7 linked regions of the Macaca mulatta genome follow. The protein of the gene in region 1 purifies or fractionates together with the protein of each later gene. This does not show direct contact. Links are inferred from orthologs where the notes say so. Each region holds a gene or a part of one and is shown on either strand. Other genes may lie near its edges. The genes, in order: H2AZ1, MORF4L1, ANP32E, EPC2, CHD4, MRGBP and BRD8.

Region 1 (3,880 bases):
AAGCTGTTAATTCCAACTACCACCAGAACTCGGTACTTTCAAATAAGAAAGCCTGCTTCTCTTCAATAAAATGGAGATAGTATATCCCCAATGATGTTACTGAGCACTTAACAATTTCAATTTCAGACTTCAAAGCAGGGCCTAGCACGTAGCACTATTAGCTTCAGAGTTTAAATTCGGAGTTCATTATGTGGATATACAGGACATTCCTACCTATTCTCTCCCTCCCCAAGTCCACCACACTAACAGCATACTAGTGCAGTGCTGTCACACAGCAAGCAAAGTCAATGCACAAACTGAAATGCTCCCACTCCAGCTCCTGACAACTTTTTAAATTAAAACTTTAGTAGCTTATTATATAACATTAAAAATATATACTTGGTCTATCTCACTTTGTTGATCTAGATTTGACAGGTCAGTCACAAAGAAATGTGCTTAGTTATTGCTGCTAGATATTCAAAACAAATTCATATTACAATCAAGCCAATTTAATACACAACTAGTTTGGGATATGACCTTTATTGAGCTTATCCACCAGAGTGGAAATAATGTCTGTACAAAACCAAATGTTTGTTACTATAACTTCTGCATCACAATTAAAATCCAAACAGTTTTTTAAAAACAGTCAACTCAATCAAAACCCACTACTTCAGAATCAATAGCTTCTTTGAAGCCACAGTAACACTTAAATATGGTTAAGACTCGAATGCAGAAATTTGGTTGGTTGGAAAGCTAATTAAACTTCCAACTTGCTCAAATAGAATTACAAAAAGGCAAAATTGTGTTTTTCACAGAGATACAGTCCACTGGAATCACCAACACTGGACAGCTGTTAGAGTATTTAGAGTCCTGAGATAACAAGGAATCCAGGCATCCTTTAGACAGTCTTCTGTTGTCCTTTCTTCCCAATCAGAGATTTGTGGATGTGTGGAATGACACCTAGGAGAGTGACAGGAATTAATTCTACTTAAGATTTTTTTTTTAAAATCACAGTATTTGAAACCAAAAAAAGTATACTGTTCAAGTATCTTTAAAAACGTGCAGCTCAAGTATGAAGTAAAAATTCAGTTATACATATGAATCAAATTTCATGATAAAACCATACTTGCATCAATGAAAATATACTTAAATTTTCTCTTCTAGAAAAACTAATGAAATTAAAGCAGCAAAGAATTCCTTCCTCTGAAGAAATTTTTAAAAATTTTAGAAGTTAACATACCACCACCAGCAATTGTAGCCTTGATGAGCGAATCCAATTCTTCATCTCCACGAATAGCAAGTTGCAAGTGACGAGGGGTAATACGCTTTACCTTTAAGTCTTTTGATGCATTTCCTGCCAGTTCAAGTACCTAGAAGGCAGAATCTAATCAGTTCCCTTCCAACTTTCCTTTGGCCAAGATTCAGAGAACAGAATAAAACCCTCACAAACGCTTATCTACCAACTGGAGTCGTTCCCCACTATCTGACTGGCAAGATATACAGGGGGCACGCAATTTTAATTCCAAGAGCAGAGAACTCAAGCTCAGTAGGATCCTTGTTGAACAGCAGCTCCCTCTAGCGTTCTCTTAGGCCTCTCGCCGCGTTCAGGGCCTGTGAGTTTTCTTGCATCACTTTCCTCCTTCCCTCTTGCCGTCTCCCCGCCCCCCAAACCTTCTCCGGATTATAGGCGTTCACCCATTTACCTCTGCGGTGAGGTACTCCAGGATGGCTGCGCTGTACACAGCGGCAGTCGCGCCCACACGTCCATGACTGGTCGTCCTAGATTTCAGGTGTCGATGAATACGGCCCACTGGGAACTTAAATTTTAAGCATACACAAACATAAATGCACAAAAATAGGAGAACTAGAGATGGGGAAATTATATGCGCGCCAAAGCAAGTGGCACGGGCGCAGCAACGCGTCCCGACATCGAAACACGTGATTCCTCCCCCCCATATTTATCGTATGGGCAGCCCAAGTCGCGACACCGCATCACCCACGCATAGACGAAACGCCCATGGAGAGCGGTGAATAACAAAAAAGGAGATGCAAAGAAAAACATCACGACTCCCAGACCGCACGAACAACTACTGACCTGCAAGCCGGCTCTCTGCGAGCGGGAAACCGCCTTTGTCTTGGCCTTTCCGGAGTCCTTTCCAGCCTTACCGCCAGCCTGCGGCGCGCACACGCCCGCGAGCGGAGGAGGAACGGAGAATATAGAATTACCAAGGCGGCGCGCCCATCCCCCACCGCGGCGCGTCCCGCCGCGAGCGCGTCCCCGCACCCCGCCGGGGTCTCTGGCCCGCGGCGCGCCGCAGGGGCGACCCCGCCCGTCCGCCCCCCGCCGCGCGCTCGCCGCGGCCGCGCGCCTCCGCCCGCCCGCCGGCCCCCAGCGGCGCTGCGCGCGCCACCCAACCGTCGCCGCCCGCCGCGAGATCCGAGGCTGCTCCGCTAGCAGCCGACAAAACACCTCCCCCCGCTCTTCTTAATCCTGTCTCCGCGCGTTCCCAACCGTCGCCACTTCACCCCCATCCCCCGTGTAACGGGTTTTTCTCCCGCCGGCAAAAACCCGCGAAGTCATCGAGCGTCTCTGCGAAGTTTACCATTTCGAATTCTGCTGAAGCTCAAGCAAGCAAGGCAGAGAAAAGGCTAATCGGACCCACGGTGAGATCCCACCACCTACTCCTTCGTCGCACCGCGATTCAAACTGCGCTGTCTCCCGCCTTCCCTGCTCCCTTTATACTGCAGAATGTTCCCTCATCCGGGAACTCGGATTGCTCATCCCACCAATGGCTGCCACCCGCCCTCGGGACGCGTCCTTGAGACTTCAGCCAATGAGCAAGCAAAGAAAAGGGTGGAGGGGCGGGCGCTTCTAAGCTCAAGCCGCGATTGGGACGTGAGGAGCGAAGCGGGGGAGGGCGGAGGGATGGGAACGGGGGAGAAGAAGGGCACCGCGGCGGGAGGGAAGAAACAGAGCAAGCTACTCTGCGGGAGCGCAGTTACCAGCCAGCTGCGGTCACGTGCCGGGGAGGAGGAGCTGAGACCTCAGGGGAGGGGCGCGCGGTAGCGCCCCGGGTCCCCTAGCAGGGCTTTGGAGACCACGTGAAGTCTCGTCCGTATCTAGCACGCAGCCCCCACCGCTCCCAACCCCACCCCCAGCGCCTCTCGGGCGGAGACCTGCGACCTGCAGCCGCCTTCCGGGGCCCCGGGCACCCTCTCCCGACCCTCTCAATCCCTGGCGGCTCTTCCAGTCTGACAGGTGGCGCGAACGCGTCCAGTGAGGGGAGGCTGAGGTTTGCCCTGACGCCTTCCTCAGCCTTAGTAGAGATTCCGTGTTTCTTCCCTCTAGGCGAATCCCCAGTCACCAACAACAGATCAGGACGGGTTGCTCCCACTTTATTTTCAGCCGGGTCTTCCACCTCTCCCTCACTACTTATGAAATCCCCCACGGAATAGTTCTGTAACAGCAAACGGTGAAGCCAAGTCACCTCACTGGTCACGAAACCCTTTTTGTTTACACTTAAGGAGCTTCTGGCGAGGCAGTATTCTTAAATCATAAACCGTATTTTTTGGAGACTACACATCAATGAGTTGTACCTGTAGCCTGATGTGTAAAGCTCATTTAGTGAAACCTCAGAGCTATTATGTGTCAACTTTTCTACAATAAATATTTTGCCACATGACAAATGTTCGGCAAATGTCGACGGAGTAACTCTGACATGATTCACAGGCAGTTACAGAGGGTCGGTGCAATGCAATCAACTGCAAATGATGAGGTTAAAATAATGATACTGTACACACAGTACTATCCTTCCAACTAGTAGATTATTAACACCTACGTATATCTCCAGCTGCTTGGGGACAGTAGTGTCTCAATCTCATTTGTAGTGTTTTAGTGCAT
Region 2 (4,215 bases), on another chromosome or scaffold:
AAACAAAACAAAACAAAACAACAGGAAAATAAGGCAGGTTGGACAAGCTTGCAAGTAGCAGCCGTGACAAGATGGTGTATATTCAACTGGAATAACGAAGATTTTTGTGGGTTTCTGTTGTCGAAGAAGGGGTTGTGTTAAAAAGACTGAAGGAGAAATGGAAGTCAGAAAAATGGAGAGGGGCCCGGAAATGGTAGGGTGTGGAACCCGGGCAGGGGAGGGCTTAGAAAAGCCATGGAGGCAGGCTGGGCACGGTGGCTTGCTCCTGTAATCCCAGCACTTTCCGAGGCCAAGCCGGGCGGATCACGACGTCAGGAGTTCCAGATCAGCCTGACAACATGGTGAAACCCGGTATCTACTAAAAATACAAAAATTAGCTGGGCGTGGTGGCACGTGCCTGTAATCCCAGCTACTCCGGAGGCTGAGGCAGGAGAATCGCTTGAACCTGGGAGGTGAAGGCTGCAGTGAGCCGAGATCAGGCCACTGCACTCCAGCCTGGGCGACAGAGCGAGACTCCATCTCCAAAAAAAAAAAAAAAAAAAAAAGAAAGAAAAGAAAAGAAAAATATATAATATTGAAGAAATCCGTTTGTTTAGTGTGTGTACATTCAATCATGGCTCAAAAAATTAGATGACAAAAAAGTACAAACAGGGCAGGTACGGAATGCAGAGGTTGGCATATTCACACTAGCCTTTTGCGGATAGCAGAGCTCCATTATCTCAAAAAGCCAAAGCCTGACTAGTGTTTCCCACGTCATCTTCCTCATTTCCGCAAGGCCGGGACTGGAGAAGAGGAGGTAGACCTGGGAGCCAACAAATGGCTATCAATCCCACCAAATAGACTAGGCAGTGGGCTTGCTAAACAACGAAGCTTCCAGAAGCGGACCCCACTTCCCATCCTCTTGTGGCCACATTGCTGATCCTAAAGCTTTTCTATGCAAAAACTAGCGGAATGCTATTGAATATAGGTTTTCGAGGCAGCCCTATTCTCTCCGGCTACTTCAACATCAATGGGGGCTTATTTGCCCAAAGGACGTCGCAACTGGGTTTTTCCCATTTTTTCATCGCTGGTGGTTCACCGCCCCGACTCTCCCCCATTGCCCGCTCTGCTTTAACCTCCCACGTAATCAATTCCCCGCTTTACCAACCCGCAGCAGCCCGGGGGATGGGGAGTGGCGGGGGGGTGGGGAGGAGTGGGGTAGGGTAGCCGGCCCCTCCCCCACCCAGCTGCGCCTCCACCAACTAGAAACTACCAGTCCCGGCGTGCCCCGGGGCGGCGCGGGCGCAGGGGCGCGGGCGCGGCGGGTTGTCATTGGCTGGAGCAGCGGCTGCGCGGGTCGCGCTGCTGTGAGGTCTGCGGGCGCTGGCAAATCCGGCCCAGGATGTAGAGCTGGCAGTGCCTGACGGCGCGTCTGACGCGGAGTTGGGTGGGGTAGAGAGTAGGGGGCGGTAGTCGGGGGTGGTGGGAGAAGGAGGAGGCGGCGAATCACTTATAAATGGCGCCGAAGCAGGACCCGAAGCCTAAATTCCAGGAGGGTGAGTGTGCGCCTTTGGGAAAAAGGCACCTAACGGCGCAGGAGATGGAGGCGGGCTCGAGGTGGTTGAGGTTTGAGGGCCGGGGGTGGCTCGGGGTGCACCCTGAGAAGGCGGCGGATAGTGCTTTGTGCGGGGAAAGCGCATTGCGGATGGCAATTCCGATGCGTCATTGTGAGCGCTTTGTGAAGCGAGAGTGCTACGCAGGCGTTAGAGTGGGAGAGGGAGCGTTTGGCGCGTGGCACACCCTCGTCAAGTGTTTGTTATTGTTCTGAGGAAGAGGGCGCGGAGAGAGCAGCCTATTGTAGGGAGGCGACCAAGGCGCCATGGCGGCGGTTAGGGGAAGTGATGTGGCGGCGGGGGGAGGGGCGGCGGTGGTTTCTGGCTGTCCTGCAGCGCGCCCGGCCGCTTGGGCAGCCACGACCGGCGGTTAGGTGCTCCCTGGAGCCCCGGGGTGGTCGCGTTCGGTGGAGACTCGGAGCTGCAGATGGGGGTGGGTTTGGCGCCACGGGGCGGGAGAACTGCGTTGTAAAATGGCCGTTGCAACATGGCGGCTTCATCATGGCCGCTGGCGTCTCTGCCCCGTATGCAGGCGCAGCTTCAGGGCAGATGCAGCGCCCCCTTCCACGAAGACCGCAAGGTTGCCGGGACCCTTCGCTTACCTCAGAGTGGTGGGTGGGGACAGAAAAAAAAAAAAAGGATCAGTGGGATGAGCGTTTTCCTCCGCTTTGTGTTGCCTGGAGGCCTCATTCTGCTCTTAGGCGCAGTGCCAAGATCCTATGGTAACGTTAGTGCGCTCTCGCTTTGCAGTTGCTCGTAAAAAGTAAATAAAAATGATCTGAATGCAGTGTTAACGCCGTTTGCCTTTGTAAGTCCCATTGTCTCGACGTCATTTTTTAAATGCAGTAATTGTTTGATTAGTTGCAGTGTTTAACAGTGACTTGAAAGTTGAGTTTATTTTTATTAATTGGTTTTCGATTGGCATGAGGTTTGGCTAGGGTTAGACTGCCAGTGGAAGGCAGCTCTTTAAATTTTCACAACGCTTCAATTTATGTATAATAAGGTGGAGGTCTAATAGCTAAAAAGGAAGTAAAATCCTGTAAAAGGAGGAACACTCTAATATTCGTTTTCATTGCTATGGAAATTTATGCTAGTTACCGTAAATACGGTGTTTCCATGCGTACTATTTTTGTTCTAGGGATTTTTAGACTTGCATTAAAATTCCTTTTAGAGACATAAATCTTAAACCGTAGTACTGCGTATCTTATGGGATATTTAAGGGAGTTTTAGGGGTATTTTGTTAACGAGTGACTTTTTTGTTTTTTTATATATATATATATATATATATTTTTTTTTTTTTTTTTTTTTTTTTTTTTGAGACGGAGTCTCGCTCTGTCGCCCTGGCTGGAGTGCAGTGGCCAGATCTCAGCTCACTGCAAGCTCCGCCTCCCGGGTTTACGCCATTCTCCTGCCTCAGCCTCCCAAGTAGCTGGGACTACAGGCGCCCGCCACCTCGCCCGGCTAGTTTTTTGTATTTTTAGTAGAGACGGGGTTTCACCATGTTAGCCAGGATGGTCTCGATCTCCTGACCTCGTGATCCACCCGTCTCGGCCTCCCAAAGTGCTGGGATTACAGGCTTGAGCCACCGCGCCCGGCCTGTTTATATTTTTGAGACAATGTCTCACTCTGTCACCTAGGCTGGAGGGCAGTTATGGTACTCGGCTCACCTCTGCCCCCCGGGCTAAAGCGAGCCTCCCAAGTAGCTCGGATCACTGACGCGCGCCGTCATGCCCGGCTGAGTTTTGTTCTGTTTTGTTTTTAGGGGTTTTTTCTTTCTTTGTGGGTTTTTTTTTTTTTTTTTTTTTTTTTTTGTATTTTTGGTAGGGACGGAGTTTCATGATGCCCAGGCTGGTCTTGAAGTCTTGGGCTCAAGCGATCCACCCGCCTTGGCCTCCCAAAGTGGGAGGATTACGGGCGTGAGCTATCGCGCTCAGCCGTGTGACTTTTAATACCCTTCTCCCACCTTGAGAATCTGTGACTCTACCTCCTATGGATTCATTATTTTACTAGACGTTTTAGAGCAGATATTCTTAGTGCATTCAGAGGGTCCGTGAAATTGAATGAGGAAGATGTGTTTTTTCTGTGTACCCAAGTTTAGTTTTCAGTTAACAGTGTAATTCCTCCCCCCAAACCCCGAAAAAAAACGCCGCATTAGTATTTTCAGATCTCAGCATTACAGTTGTGGAAGATGTTTTCAGTTATCAATCATTCTCGTTTCTTCAAAATTAGGGTAGTTGCTGGATGACTAGCCAAGTCTTTGTCCTGTAATGTCATAGAACGTGACATTTAAAATGTTTTGGTGTTTCGATACAGTCGGTTGCCTTTGTACTACTGTGTGTTTTATGTATTTATGAAATCATTCGGCTCGTAGGCTGTATCAGACTGTCAAGGCACAAAAAGTTAATCGCTTCTGTAGGAACAGCCTAAGGTTGGCTGTTTAAGGAAGCGCTTTAGTTCTAGAGGGTTGCTAGTTAAGAGGGGAATAGCAGCAGAGAATTCCTTGTGCCTTTTTTTTTTTTTTTTTGAGACGGAGTCTCGCTCTGTCGCCCAGGCTGGAGTGCAGTGGCCGGATCTCAGCTCACTGCAAGCTCCGCCTCCCGGGTTTATGCCATTCTCCTGCCTC
Region 3 (3,500 bases), on another chromosome or scaffold:
ATTTCTGTTTTACAACATTCCTAGTTATTCCTACAAACCATATGCGAGAAGTATGGCTTCTAAATACTAGTATCCAACATATATATAGAGTCTCATGAAAACATTGCATGCACTAAAGTTTGTTTTACTTTGTGAATACTTCAAAACTTGCTTGTGAGATGCTGGAGAGGCTGCAGAGAAAAGGGAATGCTTATATACTGTTGGTGGGAATATAAATTAGTTCAGCCACATGAAAAGCAGTTTGGAAATTTCTCAAAGAACTAAAAATACAACTACCATTCAACCCAGCAATCCCATTACTGGGTATATACCCAAAGGAAAGTAAATCATTGTACCAAAAAGACACATGCATTTGTATGCTCACCACAGCACTATTCACAATACCAAAGACATGGAACCAACCTAGGTGCCCATCAATGGCGGACTGGATAAAGAAAATGTAGAACATACACATGATGGAATACTACACAGCCATAAAGAAAGAATGAAATAATGTCCTTTGCAGCAACATAGAGACAGCTGGGGGCCATCATCCTAAGTGAATTAATGCAGAAACAAAAAACTAAATACTGCATGTTCACACTTATAAGCAGGAGTTAAACACTGGGGACACAGGGACATAAAGATGGGAACAGACACTGGAAACTTCAAAAGAGGGGAAGGAGGGTGGCTGAAGAACTAACTATTAGGCACTATGTTCACTATTTGGGTGACAGGATGAGTAGAAGACCAAACCTCAGCATCATGCAATACACCCATGGAACAAACTTGCACACGTACCCCCTTAATCTAAAATTAAAAAAAAAAAAACCTGCTTATCTATCATTTCATCATTTTGTAACAGTGTTTATCCATCAAATTTCTTCTTACAATGAAGAAGTTTTCACTCAATAATAACAAGCAGTATCCCACTACTAACAGCATTCTGTCATCTGATCTGTCATCCACTTTTCTAAAACTGTATACTCACAATCTAATTCTAGAATATTTTTCTTCCCTCAAAAAGAAATTCCATACCCATATGCAGTCACTCTCCCATTTTCCTCTCTCCCAGCATCGAGCAACCAATAATCTACTTTCTGTCTCAATGGATTTGCCTATCCTGAAGTTTCTGCCTATTCTGAATCATATATATATAGTTTTTTGTTCGGTTTTTTGTTTTGTTTTTGAGACAGAGTCTAACTCTGTCGCCCAGGCTACAGTGCAGTGACACGATCTCAGCTCACTGTAACCTCTGCCTCCCAGGTTCCAGCAATTCTCCTGCCTTGGCTTCCCATGAACTTTCCATATAAATGAAGTCAATCAATACGTGGCCTTTTGTGTCTCTCTTCTTTCACTTAGAAGAACATTTTCAAGATTCATTCATGTAGCATGCATCAGTACTTCATTCATATTTATGGTGGAATAATATTGTACTGTATAGATAAATCACATTTTTAAAATCTGTTCATTGGGCCGGGGCCCGGTGGCTCACGCTGGCTTTAATCCCAGCACTTTGGGAGGCCGAGGTGGGTGGATCACGAGGTCAGCAGTTCGAGACCAGCCTGACCAACATGGGGAAACCCTGTCTCTACTAAAACTATAAAAAAATTAGCTGGGAGTGGTGGCGGGCGCCTGTAATCCCAGCGACTTGGGAGGTCCAGGCAGGATAATTGCTTGAAAACGGAAGGCGGAGGTTGCAGTGAGCAGATATTGCACCACTGCACTCTAGCCTGGGCAATAAGAGCAAAACTCTGTCTCAAAAAAAAAAAAAAAAAAATTCCATTCATCAGTTGATAGATACTTCGGTTGTTTCTACTTTTTGGCTATTACAAGTGGTTCTTTTTTTAAAAAAAAATACTATTTAAGACGTTGCCACTTTTACTGGGTGTACAACTTTCTACAGATATAAAATTTCACAGAGCTTCATGTTATAATAGTCATTAAATTCCCTGAAACTATAGGAAATATAAAAGAAGAAATACTGGCTAGAGCTACGGGTTTTTAATTTTTTCTTGTCTTACTAATATCTTCTTGTGGATTTTTTTTTTCAAACCTAAATTTCCAGGCCCAATCTAATTTGCACAGCTAGAGCAGAGGCTATAATAATGACACACTTATGAGTATTAAGAATGATTACCCTCATCATCCTCCTCTTCAGAGTCCGGTGCTTCATTATCCTCCTGATCAAATCCATCTAAGTATGTGATTTGCTGCAGCAGTTCAAAAATACTTTCTCTATAATCTTCCAGGTTTGTGATCTCACAGTTAAACAGGTCAAGACTTTTCAAATTTTTAAGATTTTGCTGGAAAAGTAAAGTTAAAACTTACATTCAAGATTTAAAATACCATGTTTTTTGTTTTGTTTTGTTTTTGTTTTTGAGACGGAGTCTAGCTCTGTTGCCAGCTGGAATTCAGTGCCGTGATCTCCGCTCACTGCAACCTCCGCCTCCCGGGTTCAAGCGATTCTCTTGCCTCAGCCTCCCGAGTAGCTGAGACTACAGGCGTGCACCACCATGCCCAGCTAATTTTTGTGTTTTTGTTTTGTTTTGTTTTTTTGAGACGGACTTTTTGCTCTTGTTGCCCAGGCTGGAGTGCAATGGCATGATCTTCAGCTAACCACAACCTCCACCTCCTGGGTTCAATTCTCCTGCCTCAGCCTCCCAAGTCGCTGGGATTACAGGCATGCGCCTCCACGCAGCTAATTTTGTATTTTTAGTAGAGACGGGGTTTCTCCACGTTGGTTGGGCTGGTCTCAAACTCCTGACCTCAGGTGATCTGCCCGCCTCGGCCTCCCAAAGTGCTAGGATTACAGGCGTGAGCCACCGCGCCCGGCCTAATTTTTGTATTTTTAGTAGGGATGAGGTTTTACCATGTTGGCCAGGATGGTCTCAATCTCCTGACCTCATGATCTGCCCACCTTGGCCTCCCAAAGTGCTGGGATTACAGGCGCGAGCCACCGTGCCCAACCACATCATTTCTTTTTAATTTATGATTCAGAAAATATACATTTGAAATTGAGAATGATTTTTGTATTTTTTGAGTTTTATAATGAAGGATTATTATATCAAGCACAGCCAGCTCACCTGGCTAATTTTTTTTAATTTTTTATTTTTGTAGAGACAGGGTCTCACTATGTTGCCCAGGTTGGTCTCAAACTCCTGGACTCAAGTGATCCTCCCACCTCTGCCTCCCAAAGTGCTGGGATTACAGACATAAACCACTGTGCCCAGTCTCCAATCTTTTTTCAAAATCAGAGCAATAATTTTCAGCATGTCACTTTTTCTTTTCTTTTTCTTTTTTTTTTTTTTAGACGGAGTTTCGCTCTTGTTGCCCAGGCTGGAGTGCAATGGTGCAATCTTGGCTCACCGCAACCTCCCCCTCCCGGGTTCAAGCGATTCTCCTGCCTCGTGTCACTTTTTCTTTTCCTTCCCTCATACCAGGAAAGGGGGCAAATAATAAAATGACTCAAAAAATAATCAAGAAGAAAGGAAAAAGAATAAAAGGTTAAAAAAAAAAAA
Region 4 (3,500 bases), on another chromosome or scaffold:
CAAAAAACCTTGTGGTCCCAGTGACTAGAGGAGTCACAGTCAAGAAGAATGAGTTCAAACAAAATCTTTTACTCTAGGAATAAATTACTAAATAAGACAGATATGATTTCAAAACACTGAATTCTAATGTACCTTAGTTGTTGCTTAAGTCTTAAAATTTTTTAAGGAAAGAAATGGTACTGTGTTGAGGGTATTAAAAAATTTCAGATAGGAAAAATCACACAGACCAAGAAGATTATTTTTTTTCTAATGGTAATGTAAAGATAAAAATACAAAAAAATCTTGTTGTCTATGATGTTAACATAGCCAACTTGTGACTTAAATTCCCTGAGAAGTACATGCACGCCTAACGTAACAGTTTAAATGCTTATTTTATGTTGTATGGTAGTGTCATAGGATTATAGAGGTGATTATAATGGAACTATTTAAGTCGTATTAACTTATATTTTGGACCAATACATATGTTGTATTGATGATATAACAATATATACAGGCCGGGTGCAGTGGCTCAAGCCTGTAATCCTAGCACTTTGGGAGGCCGAGACGGGCGGATCACGAGGTCAGGAGATCGAGACCTGGCTAAAACGGTGAAACCCCATCTCTACTAAAAAATACAAAAAAAACTAGCCGGGCGAGGTGGCGGGCGCCTGCAGTCCCAGCTACTCGGGAGGCTGAGTCAGGAGAATGGCCTGAACCCGGGAGGCAGAGTTTGCAGTGAGCTGAGATCTGGCCACTGCACTCCAGCCTGGGTGGCAGAGCGAGACTCTGTCTCAAAAAAAAAAAAAAAAAAAAAAACCAAAAAAAACAATATATACAACACATATATACTTTCTGGAAAAAAGTCAAGTTAAATCTAGAGTTAATCTGGAATGTATAGTACGAAGCTGAAAATATCTGACAATGTTCACGCTGAGAAGGAAGACATTAAAATCACTTTTTAATGTGGTATACATCAGCAGAGAAAACAATCAGCCTACGGTCAAATGTAATTATAAATGCCTCTATATGGTGTGTTTTAAACTCTCTTTTTAAGAAAAATTATTTTGAGAATGTTTAGTACAGGAATTCCATTTAGCTAAATAAACTGGAACTTTGTCTTAGAGCTGGCTGAAAAAAGATCTGATTTAATACTTGTCAACTTTCTACTATCTTTAGATTTCTAATAATCCCGCAGCCTCAAATTGTATTACACATTTATCCATTTCAGCTTCAAGCACTCTTTCAACTTCACAGACTCATGAACTTTATATAATGGGAGGCCATTTTCCTTACTTAAGTTCGTTTAGGAGAAAATTAACCAACTAATTTGGATAAATGATATGCCAATTTCTAATCATTCAAACAAATCCAATATTTCATTATAACCTTTAAACAAATCACTGTACAAGTCAAGTTGGAAAAGAGGCAGTTCAGTAGCTAAAAGAGACTGAACATTATTGAGACCAATCAAGCTAAAGTGATTCATGATCACTGTAAGGAAGTTTAAATATGATAATTTCACATCCTAGAATGTATCATCCAGGAAGTAATTTAGAAATACAAAAAAAAAAAAAGGTATCAACAGTGTAAGTCTCTATGTTAGTCTTGGGATACAATGCATATATACAACGTATACATTATAAAGATATTTATAAATTATACATACTTGCATACATGTGATAAAACAGACCACAGAAGAAAACAAATCAAAATTGTACCTTAGATTCTCCAGATATTATACATTATTTACAATGTACATGTCATAAAAATATTACATTAATTTGAATACATCTCTTAAAAATGAAAAAACTTCCTGATCTAACTAGAGGTAAGCTATCGGACAAAAATTATTATTCATAGGGGCTTGGCACAATGGCTCATGCCTATAATCCTAGCACTTTGGGAGGCTGAGGCAGGTGGATCACCTGAGGTCAGGATTTCGAGACCAGCCCGGCCAACACGGCGAAACCCTGTCTCTACTAAAAATACAAAAATTAGCTGGGCATGGTGGTATGCTCCTGTAGTCCCAGCTATTTGGGAGGCTGAGACAGGAGAATCGCTTGAACCCAGGAGGCAGAGGTTGCAGTGAGCTGAGATCATGCCACTGCACTCCAGACTGGGTGATACAGCGAGACTCCATCTAAAAAAAAAAAAAAAAAAAAAAAAAAATTATTCACAGGGAGTCTCCTAAAAATCATTTTCCAGAAAGAGTTTTCAAAGGTACTCTCAAGGAGTAATGGTTACATTTAATCAAAGATTACGCACCAAAATGAAAATTACCTTTAACATAAGCAGTAGATAGTACTGCGCTGTGATTATCTGGTGGCAGCTTATAAGCAGTCTGCTTTGTAGGGAAGTCTGTATGCATTCTGCCTACATTTACCACACCAGGAATACACCCGAAATAGATGTCAGTGGTTTTACAGTACTAGTTAGGACAATTTGGTTAAAATGTGAGGCAGAACAGTACAATTTTGTTTCTTAGGTTGGGGAAAAAAATGCAGTAGGTTAAGATAAAATTCCTTTCCCAATAAAATTAAGTAAAAAAGAATAGCAGGATATACTTTTAACACAGCAACAGCTTACCTGATATGCCATTCTTGCTGGTGTTCAATAAAGCTACAGATGCTGCAGAAACTCTTTTATTGTTCACAGTCTGCCCTGGTTTTCTTGAGGTACATTCTTCACTATCACTGTCCTGTAAATTTAGTAGCCTTGGCTGGAAACACTGTAGTCGACATGATCTGATATTGCTTAATATTTCAGAAAGGGACAGTCTATTTTCACAATGTTTACTGGAAGCATTGGTCCGAGAGAAATTAGAAGAAAAGTCTATAGTTTGGGAAGAGCTTGAAAAACTATTCAGCATTTCAGGGTCTATCTGTTTTAGGACTGGGTCATGTTCTGTGGATATTCGGTCCATTATGACCCTGAAAAGCAAAATAAAACCAAACATTAACTAAGACAGCTGAACATTTTTTCTTTGTCTTCTGTTCCAGATAGCAAACAAAAACCAAAAACCAAAAAACAAATACCAAAAGTGAAAACAAATACTTCACCTTCCACCTCTGCCAATTCGCCTCCTTGCAAATCCTATACATCTTCTTGGGACTGTAAGTGTTGTAAGGCAATGCCTATACCTCAACTTATCCAAATCTGCCAGTTCTGAATTTTCACATGAATGGTTAGCTTGGTCCAAACGAGGCTGCAAAGAAAGAAAAAAAAAAAACCCAAAAAACTCATGGAGTAAATTTGAAATGAAGACAGGTTAGATCATGATAAACATGAAGTAACTGCAACATTAGCAGAACAATTAAAATCTAGACATAAAACTGTAAAAATCGGGCTTCACTGACTATTAATCAGGTTAAATTTTACAAAACTGAATCAAAAGTTCACTCACCAAGATTACCCAAACTGAATTTAGTTTCTAAAGATAAATTCACTTAGGGTCCATTATACTTAAAAAGGAATGTATCTTTTTAAAAAAAATGCAGCTTTTAACGTATGTGTACAAAGTA
Region 5 (3,500 bases), on another chromosome or scaffold:
CAGGGGATACGCAGCCCAACACTCCTGCACCTGCCCCACCTGCTGGTAAGTCTGCCTGTCCTATCATTTTCTGTCCCTCTCTTTTTGTCCTGGCCTATTTTTCTGCTCCCCTGTGCTCAGTTCTAACAGGGTAGTCTGGCAGGACACACAGTAATTTCCCTCTCAGTTTAGGAGGGCCGTCCTAAGAATGGGGCTGGCTCTTAAAGGCACGAGAGGACAGTTTAAGATGAGACAAACTGGGAAGAAATGACCTTCTCTCTGATGTAGGACCTTCTTCCTAATTGATTGTCTCTTATTGTTCTGCAGAAGATGGGATCAAAATAGAGGAAAATAGCCTCAAAGAAGAAGAGAGCATAGAAGGAGAAAAGGAGGTTAAATCTGTAGCCCCTGAGACTGCCATTGAGGTAAGAGATGGGGGTGACTGAATGCCACACTAAAAACAAATGTATAAGTCCAGTCTTCCTTGTAGTTGCTGGCCTGTCTGCTTCATCTGTTTTGTTTTTGTTTTTTTTTCCTTTGAAGTGTACACAGCCCCCTGCCCCTGCCTCAGAGGATGAAAAGGTCGTTGCTGAACCCCCTGAGGGAGAGGAGAAAGTGGAAAAGGCAGAGGTGAAGGAGAGAACAGAGGAACCTATGGAGACAGAGCCCAAAGGTAAAGGTATCCACGTTTTTTTTTTTTGAGACAGTCTCGCACTCTTGCCAGGCTGGCGTGCTGTGGTGCCATCTTGGCTTACTGCAACCTCCACCTCCCAGGTTCAAGCGATTCTCCTGCCTCAGCTTCCCGAGTAGCTGGGATTACAGGCATATGCCATCATGCCCAGCTAATTTTTGTGTTTTTAGTAGAGACAGGGTTTCACCATGTTGGCCAGGCTGGTCTCAATCTCCTGGCCTTGTGATCCACCCGCCTTGGCCTCCCAAATTGTTAGGATTACAGGCATGAGCCACTGTGCCTGGCCTTTTTTTTTCTTTTTTTCTTTTTTTTTTTTAAAAAAAGGAGTTTCACTCTTGTTGCCCAAGCTGAAGTGTAATGGCGCGATCTCGGCTCACTGCAACCTCTGCCTCCTGAGTTCAAGCGATTCTCCTGCCTCAACCTCCTGAGTAGCTGGGATTACAGGCATGTGCCACCATGCCTAGCTAATTTTGTATTTTTTAATAGAGGGGGTTTCTCCATATTGGTCAGGCTGGTCTCGAACTCCTGACCTCAGGTGATCCACCTGCCTTGCCCTCTCAAAGTGCTGGGATTATAGGCGTGAGCTACTGTGCCTGGCTGGTGTCCATATTTTTAGGCACTACAGATCCCTGTGTGAACCATGGTCACTCATGAATTTTCACTGGGGCTGTAGAGATATCAGGAGGAAGCGATACACTGAAGAATCCTGCACCCTTGATTTTAGGTGGCAGGTTTTCCTATCTCTTATGACTTTATTATTTTTTATTTTTTTTTTTTGAGATGGAGTCTCACTCTGTCACCCAGGCGGGAGTGCAGTGGCACAATCTCTGCTCACTGCAACTTGCGCCTCCCGGGTTCAAGCGGTTCTCCTGCCTCAGCCTCCGAGTAACTGGGATTACAGGCATGCCACAACCATGCCCAGCTAATCATTTATTTATTTATTTATTTATTGAGATGGTGTCTCACTCTGTCGCCCAGGCAGGAGTGCAGTGGCATGATATTGGCTCACTGCAACCTCCACCTCCTGGGTTCAAGCGATTCTCCTGCCTCAGTCTCCTGAGTAGTTACCATGCCCGGCTTTTTTTTTTTTTTTTTTTTTTTTGAGGTGGAGTCTTGCTCTGTCGCCCAGGCTGATGTGCAGTGCAGTGGTATGATCTCGCCTCACTGCAACCTCCACCTCCTGGGTTCAAACAATTCTCCTGCCTCAGCCTCCTGAGTAGCTGGGATTACAGCACGCACCACCATGCCCGGCTAATTTTTGTATTTTAGTAGAGACGGGGTTTTACCATGTCGGCCAGGCTGGTCACAAACTCCTGACCTCGAGATCCACCCACCTCGGCCTCCCAAAGTGTTAGGATTACAGGCGTGAGCCACCATGCCTGGCTAATTTTTGTATTTTTAGTAGAGACGGGGTTTCACCATGTTGGCCAGGCTGGTTTCTAACTCTTGACCTCAGGTGATCCACCCACCTTGGCCTCCCAAAGTGCTGGGATTACAGGCATGAGCCACCACACCTGGCTAATTTTTGTATTTTTAATAGAGATTGGGTTTTCCCATGTTGGCCATGCTGGTCTTGAACTCCTGACCTCAAGTGATCTGCCTGCTACTGTCTCCCAAAATGCTGGGATTACAGGCATGAGCCACTGTGCCCAGCTGACATTACTGTAATCGCAGACATTTAGATGTAGGTCTATCCAGTTGGATAATAGTGTGTAACAGAGGAGAATGTTCTTCCTTTAGGTATATTTTCAATAACATTTCTTCCCCTAGGTGCTGCTGATGTAGAGAAGGTGGAGGAAAAGTCAGCAATAGATCTGACCCCTATTGTGGTAGAAGACAAAGGTGGGTGTTTGGAGAAGTTGATTGTGGTTTAGAAGAACTCTAAAACCGGAAGCAAGGACTGTATCTGCCCTGCCTCCCTGTCCATACTCATCTAGCCATTTTATCCCAAAAGACTGCACCTGTCCCCAGTGGGCCAATGGCACCATTTTCTGGGTCTGAGAGACACCCAGGTGGAGAAGGGGTGGAGGTGGATGGATTCTTGTAGCATACAGTGTTCTGGGTAAGGGCGATGGGTGCTGGGCTTTGGCTGGAACCGACATTTTTCTTCCTTATATTCTGTAGAAGAGAAGAAAGAAGAAGAAGAGAAAAAAGAGGTGATGCTTCAGAATGGAGAGACCCCCAAGGACCTGAATGATGAGAAACAGAAGAAAAATATTAAACAGCGTTTCATGTTCAACATTGCAGATGGTGGTTTTACTGGTATGGAAATGAGGGGCCCACCAGGGTTAGAAGGATCGGATGTGAAATTGGGGTTCTTGTCAGAAACCGTGGTACAGGGACTTTACCTCTGTTCGATGAGGGAATGCCAAACTGATAGTGTACTCCCCTGGGTTCTGTGGAGAAAGCCAGAAGCAAATTATATAAAGATGGATCCAGGGATGGGGGATGGTGGGGGACAAGAATAAGTAGCATTTTCAATTCTCACAGATGTTTGCTTCCCGCCCCCCCTCCCACCTTCCCTAAATTCCTCCTCAGAGTTGCACTCCCTTTGGCAGAATGAAGAGCGGGCAGCCACAGTTACCAAGAAGACTTACGAGATCTGGCATCGACGGCATGACTACTGGCTGCTAGCCGGCATCATAAAGTATCCTTTGCCTGAATCTGGACTGAGGCTTTTGGTTCTGAAGGTCTCTTAGTTTGAGGTTTTTACTTTTCTTGTTTTGTTTTTCCTGAGCACTTTTCCAATAGCCATGGCTATGCCCGGTGGCAAGACATCCAGAATGACCCACGCTATGCCATCCTCAATGAGCCTTTCAAGGGTGAAATG
Region 6 (4,067 bases), on another chromosome or scaffold:
CCGCAGTGACTCGCGTTTCCCTCCCCCTCCCCCGTCCCCGGCAACTGTGCGTCTACTTTCTATTTCTATGGAGTTGCCAGTTCTGGCTCTTCCTGTGAATGGATTCCCATGCTGCGTATTTTGGTGTCTGAATTCTCTGACTTTCGTCTCAGCCCGCACCCACGCTGCCGCAGTCCGCGCTCGCGGCTTTTAGGCTGAACGCGGCTGCGCCGTGCGGGTGCCCGCGCTCCGTGCGCCCCTAGCCGGTTCAGCCCCGGTTGGGGGCGGCGCTAGCCTTGCGGCTGCGGATCCCAGCCTGAACCTGTGTCTTGTTCCACCGTTGCGGGCGCCCGCCACGGAGCTGCTGCCTCCTAGGGAGACGGTTCCATCGTTGAAGGAACGGCCGTTCTGTCTTTCGCAGCAGCGACTCCATCTGGCCCCACAGCACGACCGCACGAGGGTCCCGAGTCCGGATCCTCGCAGTACTCGCCACCCCGGCCGCGTAGTTGCGGCGGTCTCGGCGGGGAAGGGGGTCCCCACGCGGGCTGGTTCGCGTTTCGCGTGACCGATGGTGTTCATTGGCCATCTATACATCTTTTTTTTTCTTTTTCCCGAGTCGGAGTTTCTCTCTTGTTGCCCAAGCTGGATTGCAATGGCGCGATCTCCGCTCACTGCAACCTCCGCCTCTCGGGTTCAAGCGATTCTCCTGCCTCAGCCTCTCGAAGTAACGGGGATTACAGGCGCCCGCCACCACGGCCGGCTAATTTTTTTGTATTTTTAGTAGAGACGGGATTATGCCATGTTGGCCAGGCTGGTCTCGAATTCCTGACCTCAGATGATCCTCCCGCCTCGGCCTCCCAAAGTGCTGGGATTACAGGCGTGAGCCACCGCGCCCGGCCCATCTGTACATCTTCTTTGGAAAAATGTGTATCCAAATCCTTTGCCGTTTTATAGTTAGACTGTCTTTTTATTATAGAGTTATATTTATACCTTCTGCAAGGAAGTTCCTTATCAGATACAGGATTTGCAAATACTTTCTCCCAATCTGTGGGTCGTCTTTTCACTTTGCTGATGGTTTTCTTTGAAGCAAAAAAGTTTTCTGTTGTTGTTTGGGTGAAGTGTTAGAACACTTACTGTGCTTTAAAGAGGAACACGTTTTAAGCACCCCCGCACGGGGCGGAGCAGGGCGGAGTCCCCGGCGGGAAGGAACCCGAGGCCTCGGCTGCGCCTGCGCCGACGCCGGCGCGTGAGCCCGAGCTCGTGCCTGGCGGAGCGCGCGCCCGCCCCCGAGTGCGCCTGCGCGGAGCTCGTGGCCGCGCCTGCTCCCGCCGGGGGCTCCTTGCTCGGCCGGGCCGCGGCCATGGGAGAGGCCGAGGTGGGCGGCGGGGGCGCCGCAGGCGACAAGGGCCCAGGGGAGGCGGCCACCAGCCCGGCGGAGGAGACAGTGGTGTGGAGCCCCGAGGTGGAGGTGTGCCTCTTCCACGCCATGCTGGGCCACAAGCCCGTCGGTGAGCGCCCAGGCCGCGGACGCGCGTGGGGGCGGGGCGGGCAACCGGCGGGGCGGGGCGGGGCCTGCGCTCGCGACACCCGCGCCCCCACGCGCCCCGCCGAGCCCGGGCCGTGACACCCCCGCCACACCCGTCCCGGGACCCCCGCCCCCTCCCACGCGCCCTTCGGACCCCGCCCCGGACCCCGCCCCCGGCCCCTACCCCCGTGACACCGCGAGGCCCCAGCCCGCAGCGCCCCACCCCCACCTCTGCCCCGGGACGCCCCACCCCCTCCCACACACACCACCCAGCCCTGCCCCCCGACAGCCCCTCCGCACCCTGGCCCACCCCATCCCACCGCGGCCACCCTTGCCCCTCCAGTCCCCAGGGCACCCTGTCCCCTCCATCCCCTTTCTCCTTCTCCTCCCCTCTGACCGGTTGTCCCGCCGCCCCTCCTCCCCCCAGGTGTGAACCGACACTTCCACATGATTTGTATCCGGGACAAGTTCAGCCAGAACATCGGGCGGCAGGTCCCATCCAAGGTCATCTGGGACCACCTGAGCACCATGTACGACATGCAGGCACTGGTGAGCCCAACCACCCTCCCTGTGCTGCCCGATGGGGGCACGAACCCACACACCGCTGAGGGTCAGCCTGAGCTGGGCAGAGCAGAGGCCCCTCCATGCCTGCTGGGGTCTGCTGGGCAGAGCCCCCTGCAGTGAGACCCATCCTTAAGGAGGGCATCCCAGGGCTCCAGAGCCTGTCATGGAAAGCACAAACACAATGCTAGCAGCTGGCCAGCTTTTCAGGGGGCCTGCTTTAGACTGGGTGCTGGGCCAGAGCCTCCAGCTGAGACCCTGGGGAGGGAGGGAAGGATGCAGAGTCCCCAGGCCCTTAGGCCCTTGTCAGCCTCCCGGGATGCCCCAGAAGTGCTTTAGGCAGAGGGTGACCCTATCTGAGTCACACCAAGGTGAATTTGGTGGCTTCTGTGGGAGTCAGGCAAATAGAGTCCCAGTCCTCACAGAGCTTGGAGCTGGCAGTGTGTGACGGGCGAGCGCGTTAGCTAGGTAAGCAGGCTGGCCACAAGAGACAGGTGGGTGTTGCAGGCTCTGTGGCAGCAGGAGGTGGTGGGTCCAGGAGTTGAAAGAAGGTGGTGTGCTTGGAGAATGGGGTGGGGGTCAGGGGTCAGGTGACCAGGAGGAGTGGGGACCTGTGCTGGTGGAAGGAGAGTCTGTGCCAGCCACGCTGGACTCAGGGCCACACCAGCCCTTCCAGGAAGACATAGGGGCACCACTGAGGCAAGGAATGCTTGCCGTTGACATTGGTGGAGTGATGTGGGTCTCCTTGTCATAGCTGTAGAAAGGGGACAGAGATGCCAGCCGTGCAGGGGCCTGGCTGTCTGAGGAGAGGAAGGATGCTCAGCCCTAGAAATGCCCTGGAAGCTTAAGCCCCTGTTGCTGCCGCCTCGTGTGTTGAGGACGTTCTGAGCCAGTGCGGCATTTGCACTGGGTGACCAGTACCTAGTGGCCCAGACACAGCTGGCTACTAAGCTCACAAGGTCCTCCCTGGACCCGCTCCTCCCTAGAGCGTATCCATCAGCCATTGAACTCTGGTCACCACCCCTCAGGGTCAGAGGCCCCCTGTCACCAAACTCCCAGCAGCTTCTTGGTTGTGGGAGAGGGCGCTAGGTCCCCAGACACCTCCCACACCGGGATTTGGAGAGATCGGTGTAAATCTATGCCTGTCTCTGGGGAAGACAAACAGCTCCAAGGCCCATAATGTCCCCTGGGGCATGGGTGCTGGCTCAGATGAGCACAGCAGCCCACATGACACTCAGGAAGCCATGTGGGACCGCCAGGCCTTTCAGCCCTAGGACTGTGGCCCTGTTCCTTATTCCTGCAGTGGCCTATGACATCAGTAAGGACTGGGCAAGACCACAGGCTGGCACTTTCTCTGGACCATGACACTTCTGTGTGACTGAGATCTGAGTCTTTCAGACCTTATGAAATACAGAGCCCCTGGAGTACCCCCGAGAGGCTGACCAGCTGGCCCAGGAGATTTTGAGGAGCACAAATGTGGCCTGACTGCCTGTTCCATACAGCACCCAAACTGCCGAGTAGAAGCCCCTGTCTCCTGAATCGCCTCCCAGTCCAGGGCCCTTCCCGCCAGCTCCACTTTTCCCTGGCTCCCGGTCTCTCCCTCTGGTCTGTGTGACCTCAGGAGGGCAGTGCCTGGCAAGCACTCGGGTGGCCCTGCTCCATCTGCTCTTCTTCCTTGCCTGGTTCTGTGCCTGTGGCGCTCCCAACTGACACCCTCAGTGTCCATGGGTTCCTGCCATGTGGATGAGAACTCGAGGTGCCTGCGGCCTTTCCCCAGGGCTGTCACCGTGCCCTCTGCACACCGCCTTAGGGAACGCAGTCTCTTGGTGAGACCATAGGTCGTGGTGGGCAGGCAGGACCCACAGGTGTGCAGTCTCTTGGTGAGACCGTAGGTCGTGGTGGGCAGGCAGGACCCACAGGTGTGCAGTCTCTTGGTGAGACCGTAGGTCGTGGTGGGCAGGCAGGACCCACAGGTGTGCAGTCTCTTGGTGAGACCGTAGGC
Region 7 (4,006 bases), on another chromosome or scaffold:
GCCACTCCCCAGTTCCTTTACCTGCTGCTTGTCCTCTAGGGAGGTAGAGATGACAGAGCAGTCTGACAGCAGGTTCTTGCGTACCACAGACCCCAAATCTGCAGCTGTGGACTCAAACATGGGAGAGACTACGACATCGTCATCGGACAGCAAGCCCGCTGGCGGAGAAAGGATCCCTTGCGACATGACGGCAGGGGCAGCCTAGGTCTAAAAAGAGACCAAAAAGTGGGCAGGGAGAAGAACCTTTAGGGACAGAAGGGGCCGCGAATTTTAGGTAATAAGTCCCTTGCCCCAGGACACCGGGTCCCGCTCCCTACTTCCTTTCCCCTCTAATTATCGGCAAAGGGGAAGGGAATGAGAGAAGTTCACTTAATGAACAATCGAGAGAAGTTTGAGGTTGCATTTCTGAAAGCGAACAGAAGTCCACAGAAATCTGGCTCCAAAAGCAAAAGGCCAGGCCTAAAGTAGGGCACCTCGCCCGCCGGTGCTGTGGAGGTGGTGTCAGGATCCCTCGGCTCCTTTTCTAACCTCAAGGACCACCGTGAGAACAGAGATGCAGCATTAAGAGAAAAACAGATGGCTGCAGTTCCGATTTCTTAAAGCCTATTCCGCGTGGGCAAGAGCTGGTAACCCGGGCTCCAGCACAGCCGCACACTCACCCGAAGACGTGCCACTTGCTCCTCCTCGGGTACCGGCTCACTCACACCTAGTCGCCGAACCTGGACTTTCGCAGCCGGAGAGCACAACTCCGCCCACGAGGTGCAGCTTTGTTACCGATACAATATTTTAAATTACGCGCTGCGTTCGTTCGGCCAATGAGATAGGGAAGTCTGCAGCTACCAATCCGCGTAAGGAAAAGGGGCGGGTCCGACTGGAATTCCAGTAGTTTGCATCCGCTTGACCTCTCAGATCTAATGTGGGTCCGGGTTACCAACTGTCGCGGGTTAGGAGTTATTTCGCTTGGGATTCTTCCAGCTTAACCCTTTTTCTTGAACCTTAGACATTTCTTACCTAAGAACCCTAAAGGAAATCTTGAGGCTTCAGCCGCCAACCCCTGTCCTTCCTTAGCAAAAATCTTAAAAGGATTGCACAAGATAACTGGTTTAGGGTGCTTGCTTTGTCTTAGGGGAAAAAACGACATTTCCCAGGAGGCACCGCGAACCAACGCCGGTACTCTACTTCCCAGAATTCCAGGGTTTCGGCCCTACCAGACCGTCTCTCCTCAGGGTTGGAGACTTCGGGGCCAAGATGGCGACGGGAACGGGCAGTGAGTATCTGAGCAGGTTTTGCGTGAAAGGCGTTTGTAGATCCGAGGCTAGGCACCATATTTTTGTTACACGCTTAGGGAGTGGGAGAAGTGGTTTGCTTGAGAGCTCAGGGTTTTCAGAGACCTGCGCTCCACAGCATCGTGAAGACCAACGTTTGGGGGCCCAGAAATCTGGGGTCTTGTTTCTCAGGGAGGGAGCGGAGGTGTGAGAGAAGGAGCTTAGTGAATCCTAGTGTGTTAGGAGCCCTTCGGGGTAACCGTAAAAGCACTCTAGAAACTTGGGCGTGCAGACGAAAAGATGTTATGAGCCAGACGGAGTAACCGGCACCTCAAAGAGCCATTCATTTTTTGTTCGACGTTTGTGAGGCAGTGGAAGTGGGGCCTTTTAACCATGAGCTTTTCTTGCCACTCAGGAAATTGCATCTCGGGGATTTCAGCCATTTTTCTTTTAGTGGACTGAAAAGGTCTTTTAGGCCCGACATTTGGAGTAGAGGATCTGAGAGAAGTAAACAAGTTTATGCTAAGAGGGAGGCGGGGTTGTAGGAGGGGCTGGCCGCTCGGGTTCCTGGGAAATAAGCCCTGAATGAGTTCAAACTGGAATAAAGTCCAGTGTTCTTAAAACTGGGCTTTTAGGGAGAACTGCCTAATCTGACATTCCCAATTTTTTAATAAAGCGGAGCTTCAAGCCGTGGCGTTTTAAGAAATAAAATGTTAATAATTCACATGCAACAAATTGGTACCACGGTCACTGGTGATACTTCACTTGGAGAGGTGAAAATCAAGATTTGGTGATAGTAGCTCACTTTGTCCTAACAAGTTGGAATATTTTGTATTAGGCTTTTAGTCCCCTTTTTGGGGATTTTGGAGCTTAGCACTACAGTCTCAGTGGTTGCTTCCAAGGCTTTTTTTTTTTTCGTTTCCCAGAACACAAGCTGCTGAGTACTGGCCCCACAGAGCCATGGTCCATCCGAGAGAAGCTGTGTTTAGCATCTTCTGTCATGAGAAGTGGAGATCAAAATTGGTAAGCTATCTAGGATGTCAGCTTTTCTGGGTCTTAGAAATTGTTAGATACTCTTTCACATTGATAGATTTCTGTAGTTAATCATATTAAGCTGTAAGTAGACTTTTTCTTCTTCCCTTTTTTTTTTTTTTTTTTTTTTGAGACAGTCTCCTTCTCTCGCCCAGGCTGGAATGCAGTGGTGCAGCCACGCCCAGCTAATTTTTTTAGTTTTTAGTAGAGACAGAGTTTCGCCATGTTGGCCAGGCTGGTCTCGAACTCCTGACCTCAGGTGATCCACTGGCCTCAGCCTCCCAAAGTGCTAGGATTACAGGCGTAAGCCACTGCGCCTGGCCATGCCTGGCTAATTTTGTATTTTTAGTAGAGACAAGGTTTCACCATGTTGGCCACGCTGGTCTCAATCACCTGACCTCATGATCTGCCCGCCTCGGCCTCCGAAAGTGCTGGGATTACAGGCGTGAGCCACTGCTGCCGGCCTTTTTTTTTTTTTTTGAGACAGGGTTGCACTTTGTGGCCCAGGCTGGAGTGCAGTGGTGTGATCTTGGCTCACTGCAACCTCCATGTCTGAGGCTCAAGTGATCCTCCCACCTCAGCCTCTTTAGTAGCTGGGACTACAGGTGCACACCACCATGCCCAGATAATTTTTTGTATTTTTTTGTAGAGATAGGGGTTTCATCATGTTTCCTAGGCTGGTCTTGAACTCCTGGGTTCAAGCGATCTGCCCACCTCAACCTCCCAACCTACTGGGATTACGGGTGTGAGCCACCAGGCCAGCTGTATTTTTTTTTTTAAACAGCTTTATTGAGATATAATTCACATACTATAAAATTAACTTACTTAAGATGTACAATATAATGGTTTTTAGTATATTCACAGTTGTGCAGCCATTACCACAATCTAATTTTAGAACATTTTCTTTATTTTTATTTTTTTTATTTTTTATTTTTTGAGGCTCTTGCTTTGTTGCCCAGGCTGGAGTGCAGTGGCGCAATCTTGGCTCACTGCAAGTTCCGCCTCCTGGGTTCATGCCATTCTCCTGCCTTAGCCTCTCGAATATCTGGGACTACAGGCGCCCGCCACCACGCTCAGCCTATTTTTTTTTATTTTTAGTAGAGACGGGCTTTCACCATGTCAGCCAGGGTGGTCTTGATCTCCTGACCTCGTGATCAGCCCACCTCGGCCTCCCAAAGTGCTGGGATTACAGGAGTGAGCCACCGCATCTGGCTGACATAACGCTTTTAAGGTTCATTCTTATATAGCAGGTATCAATACTTAATTCCTTTTTTAGCTGAATAATAATCTGTTATATGAATATACCAAATTTTGTTTATCCATCGCTTGATAGACAATTGGGTTGTTTCCACTTTTTGACCATTATGAATAATGCTGATGATACGCACATTTGTGTACAAGGTTGTGGACAATGTTTTTAATTCTCTTGAGTTTTTTATTCAAGGAGTGAAATTGCTGGGTTATGTAGTAACTCTATTATGTTCGCTTTTTTTTTTTTGCAGACAGGGTCTCACTGTCACCCAGGCTGGAGTGCAGTGGTGCAATCTTGGTTCACTGCAACCTCTGCCTCCTGGGCTCAAGTGATTCTCCGGCCTCAGCCTCCTGAGTAGCTGGGACTACAGGCACATGCCATCATCCCCGGCTCATTTTTGTATTTTTTGGTAGGGATGGGGTTTTGCCATGTTGCCCAGGCTGGACTTTTTTTTTTT

Evidence for each region.
Region 2: the proteins of H2AZ1 (region 1) and MORF4L1 purify together in Homo sapiens (affinity purification with mass spectrometry; 4 studies listed by BioGRID and IntAct, with this or other methods). This does not show direct contact. The link is inferred for Macaca mulatta from reciprocal best matches to the Homo sapiens genes H2AZ1 and MORF4L1.
Region 3: the proteins of H2AZ1 (region 1) and ANP32E purify together in Homo sapiens (affinity purification with mass spectrometry; 4 studies listed by BioGRID and IntAct, with this or other methods). This does not show direct contact. The link is inferred for Macaca mulatta from reciprocal best matches to the Homo sapiens genes H2AZ1 and ANP32E.
Region 4: the proteins of H2AZ1 (region 1) and EPC2 purify together in Homo sapiens (affinity purification with mass spectrometry; 3 studies listed by BioGRID and IntAct, with this or other methods). This does not show direct contact. The link is inferred for Macaca mulatta from reciprocal best matches to the Homo sapiens genes H2AZ1 and EPC2.
Region 5: the proteins of H2AZ1 (region 1) and CHD4 purify together in Homo sapiens (affinity purification with mass spectrometry; 3 studies listed by BioGRID and IntAct, with this or other methods). This does not show direct contact. The link is inferred for Macaca mulatta from reciprocal best matches to the Homo sapiens genes H2AZ1 and CHD4.
Region 6: the proteins of H2AZ1 (region 1) and MRGBP purify together in Homo sapiens (affinity purification with mass spectrometry; 4 studies listed by BioGRID and IntAct, with this or other methods). This does not show direct contact. The link is inferred for Macaca mulatta from reciprocal best matches to the Homo sapiens genes H2AZ1 and MRGBP.
Region 7: the proteins of H2AZ1 (region 1) and BRD8 purify together in Homo sapiens (affinity purification with mass spectrometry; 4 studies listed by BioGRID and IntAct, with this or other methods). This does not show direct contact. The link is inferred for Macaca mulatta from reciprocal best matches to the Homo sapiens genes H2AZ1 and BRD8.

What each region holds. Positions count from the first base shown.
Region 1 is NC_133410.1:109,266,998-109,270,877, forward strand, and holds H2AZ1 (H2A histone family, member Z), read right to left. Parts: upstream 2,642-3,880; 5' UTR 2,586-2,641; coding exon 2,583-2,585; intron 2,153-2,582; coding exon 2,075-2,152; intron 1,797-2,074; coding exon 1,683-1,796; intron 1,350-1,682; coding exon 1,220-1,349; intron 940-1,219; coding exon 878-939; 3' UTR 501-877; downstream 1-500. UniProt on the Homo sapiens protein: Variant histone H2A which replaces conventional H2A in a subset of nucleosomes. Nucleosomes wrap and compact DNA into chromatin, limiting DNA accessibility to the cellular machineries which require DNA as a template.
Region 2 is NC_133412.1:57,080,683-57,084,897, forward strand, and holds the start of MORF4L1 (mortality factor 4-like protein 1), read left to right. Parts: upstream 1-1,415; 5' UTR 1,416-1,495; coding exon 1,496-1,535; exon of another isoform or gene 1,536-1,605; intron 1,606-1,687; exon of another isoform or gene 1,688-1,880; coding exon of another isoform or gene 1,881-2,172; intron 2,173-4,215. UniProt on the Homo sapiens protein: Component of the NuA4 histone acetyltransferase (HAT) complex which is involved in transcriptional activation of select genes principally by acetylation of nucleosomal histones H4 and H2A.
Region 3 is NC_133406.1:116,909,796-116,913,295, reverse strand, and holds part of ANP32E (acidic leucine-rich nuclear phosphoprotein 32 family member E), read right to left. Parts: intron 2,286-3,500; coding exon 2,120-2,285; intron 1-2,119. UniProt on the Homo sapiens protein: Histone chaperone that specifically mediates the genome-wide removal of histone H2A.Z/H2AZ1 from the nucleosome: removes H2A.Z/H2AZ1 from its normal sites of deposition, especially from enhancer and insulator regions.
Region 4 is NC_133417.1:53,767,105-53,770,604, reverse strand, and holds part of EPC2 (enhancer of polycomb homolog 2), read right to left. Parts: intron 3,185-3,500; coding exon 3,039-3,184; intron 2,910-3,038; coding exon 2,566-2,909; intron 1-2,565. UniProt on the Homo sapiens protein: May play a role in transcription or DNA repair.
Region 5 is NC_133416.1:7,529,682-7,533,181, reverse strand, and holds part of CHD4 (chromodomain-helicase-DNA-binding protein 4), read left to right. Parts: coding exon 1-45; intron 46-84; exon of another isoform or gene 85-221; intron 222-306; coding exon 307-404; intron 405-522; coding exon 523-658; intron 659-2,192; exon of another isoform or gene 2,193-2,440; coding exon 2,441-2,512; exon of another isoform or gene 2,513-2,788; intron 2,789-2,794; coding exon 2,795-2,932; intron 2,933-3,018; exon of another isoform or gene 3,019-3,066; intron 3,067-3,208; coding exon 3,209-3,317; intron 3,318-3,421; coding exon 3,422-3,500. UniProt on the Homo sapiens protein: ATP-dependent chromatin-remodeling factor that binds and distorts nucleosomal DNA. Acts as a component of the histone deacetylase NuRD complex which participates in the remodeling of chromatin.
Region 6 is NC_133415.1:115,606,747-115,610,813, forward strand, and holds the start of MRGBP (MRG/MORF4L-binding protein), read left to right. Parts: upstream 1-1,267; 5' UTR 1,268-1,339; coding exon 1,340-1,487; intron 1,488-1,931; coding exon 1,932-2,053; intron 2,054-4,067.
Region 7 is NC_133411.1:147,033,002-147,037,007, reverse strand, and holds the start of BRD8 (bromodomain-containing protein 8), read left to right. Parts: upstream 1-1,206; 5' UTR 1,207-1,248; coding exon 1,249-1,267; intron 1,268-2,191; coding exon 2,192-2,288; intron 2,289-4,006. Other genes in the region: kinesin-like protein KIF20A, read right to left, coding at 22-186. UniProt on the Homo sapiens protein: May act as a coactivator during transcriptional activation by hormone-activated nuclear receptors (NR). Isoform 2 stimulates transcriptional activation by AR/DHTR, ESR1/NR3A1, RXRA/NR2B1 and THRB/ERBA2.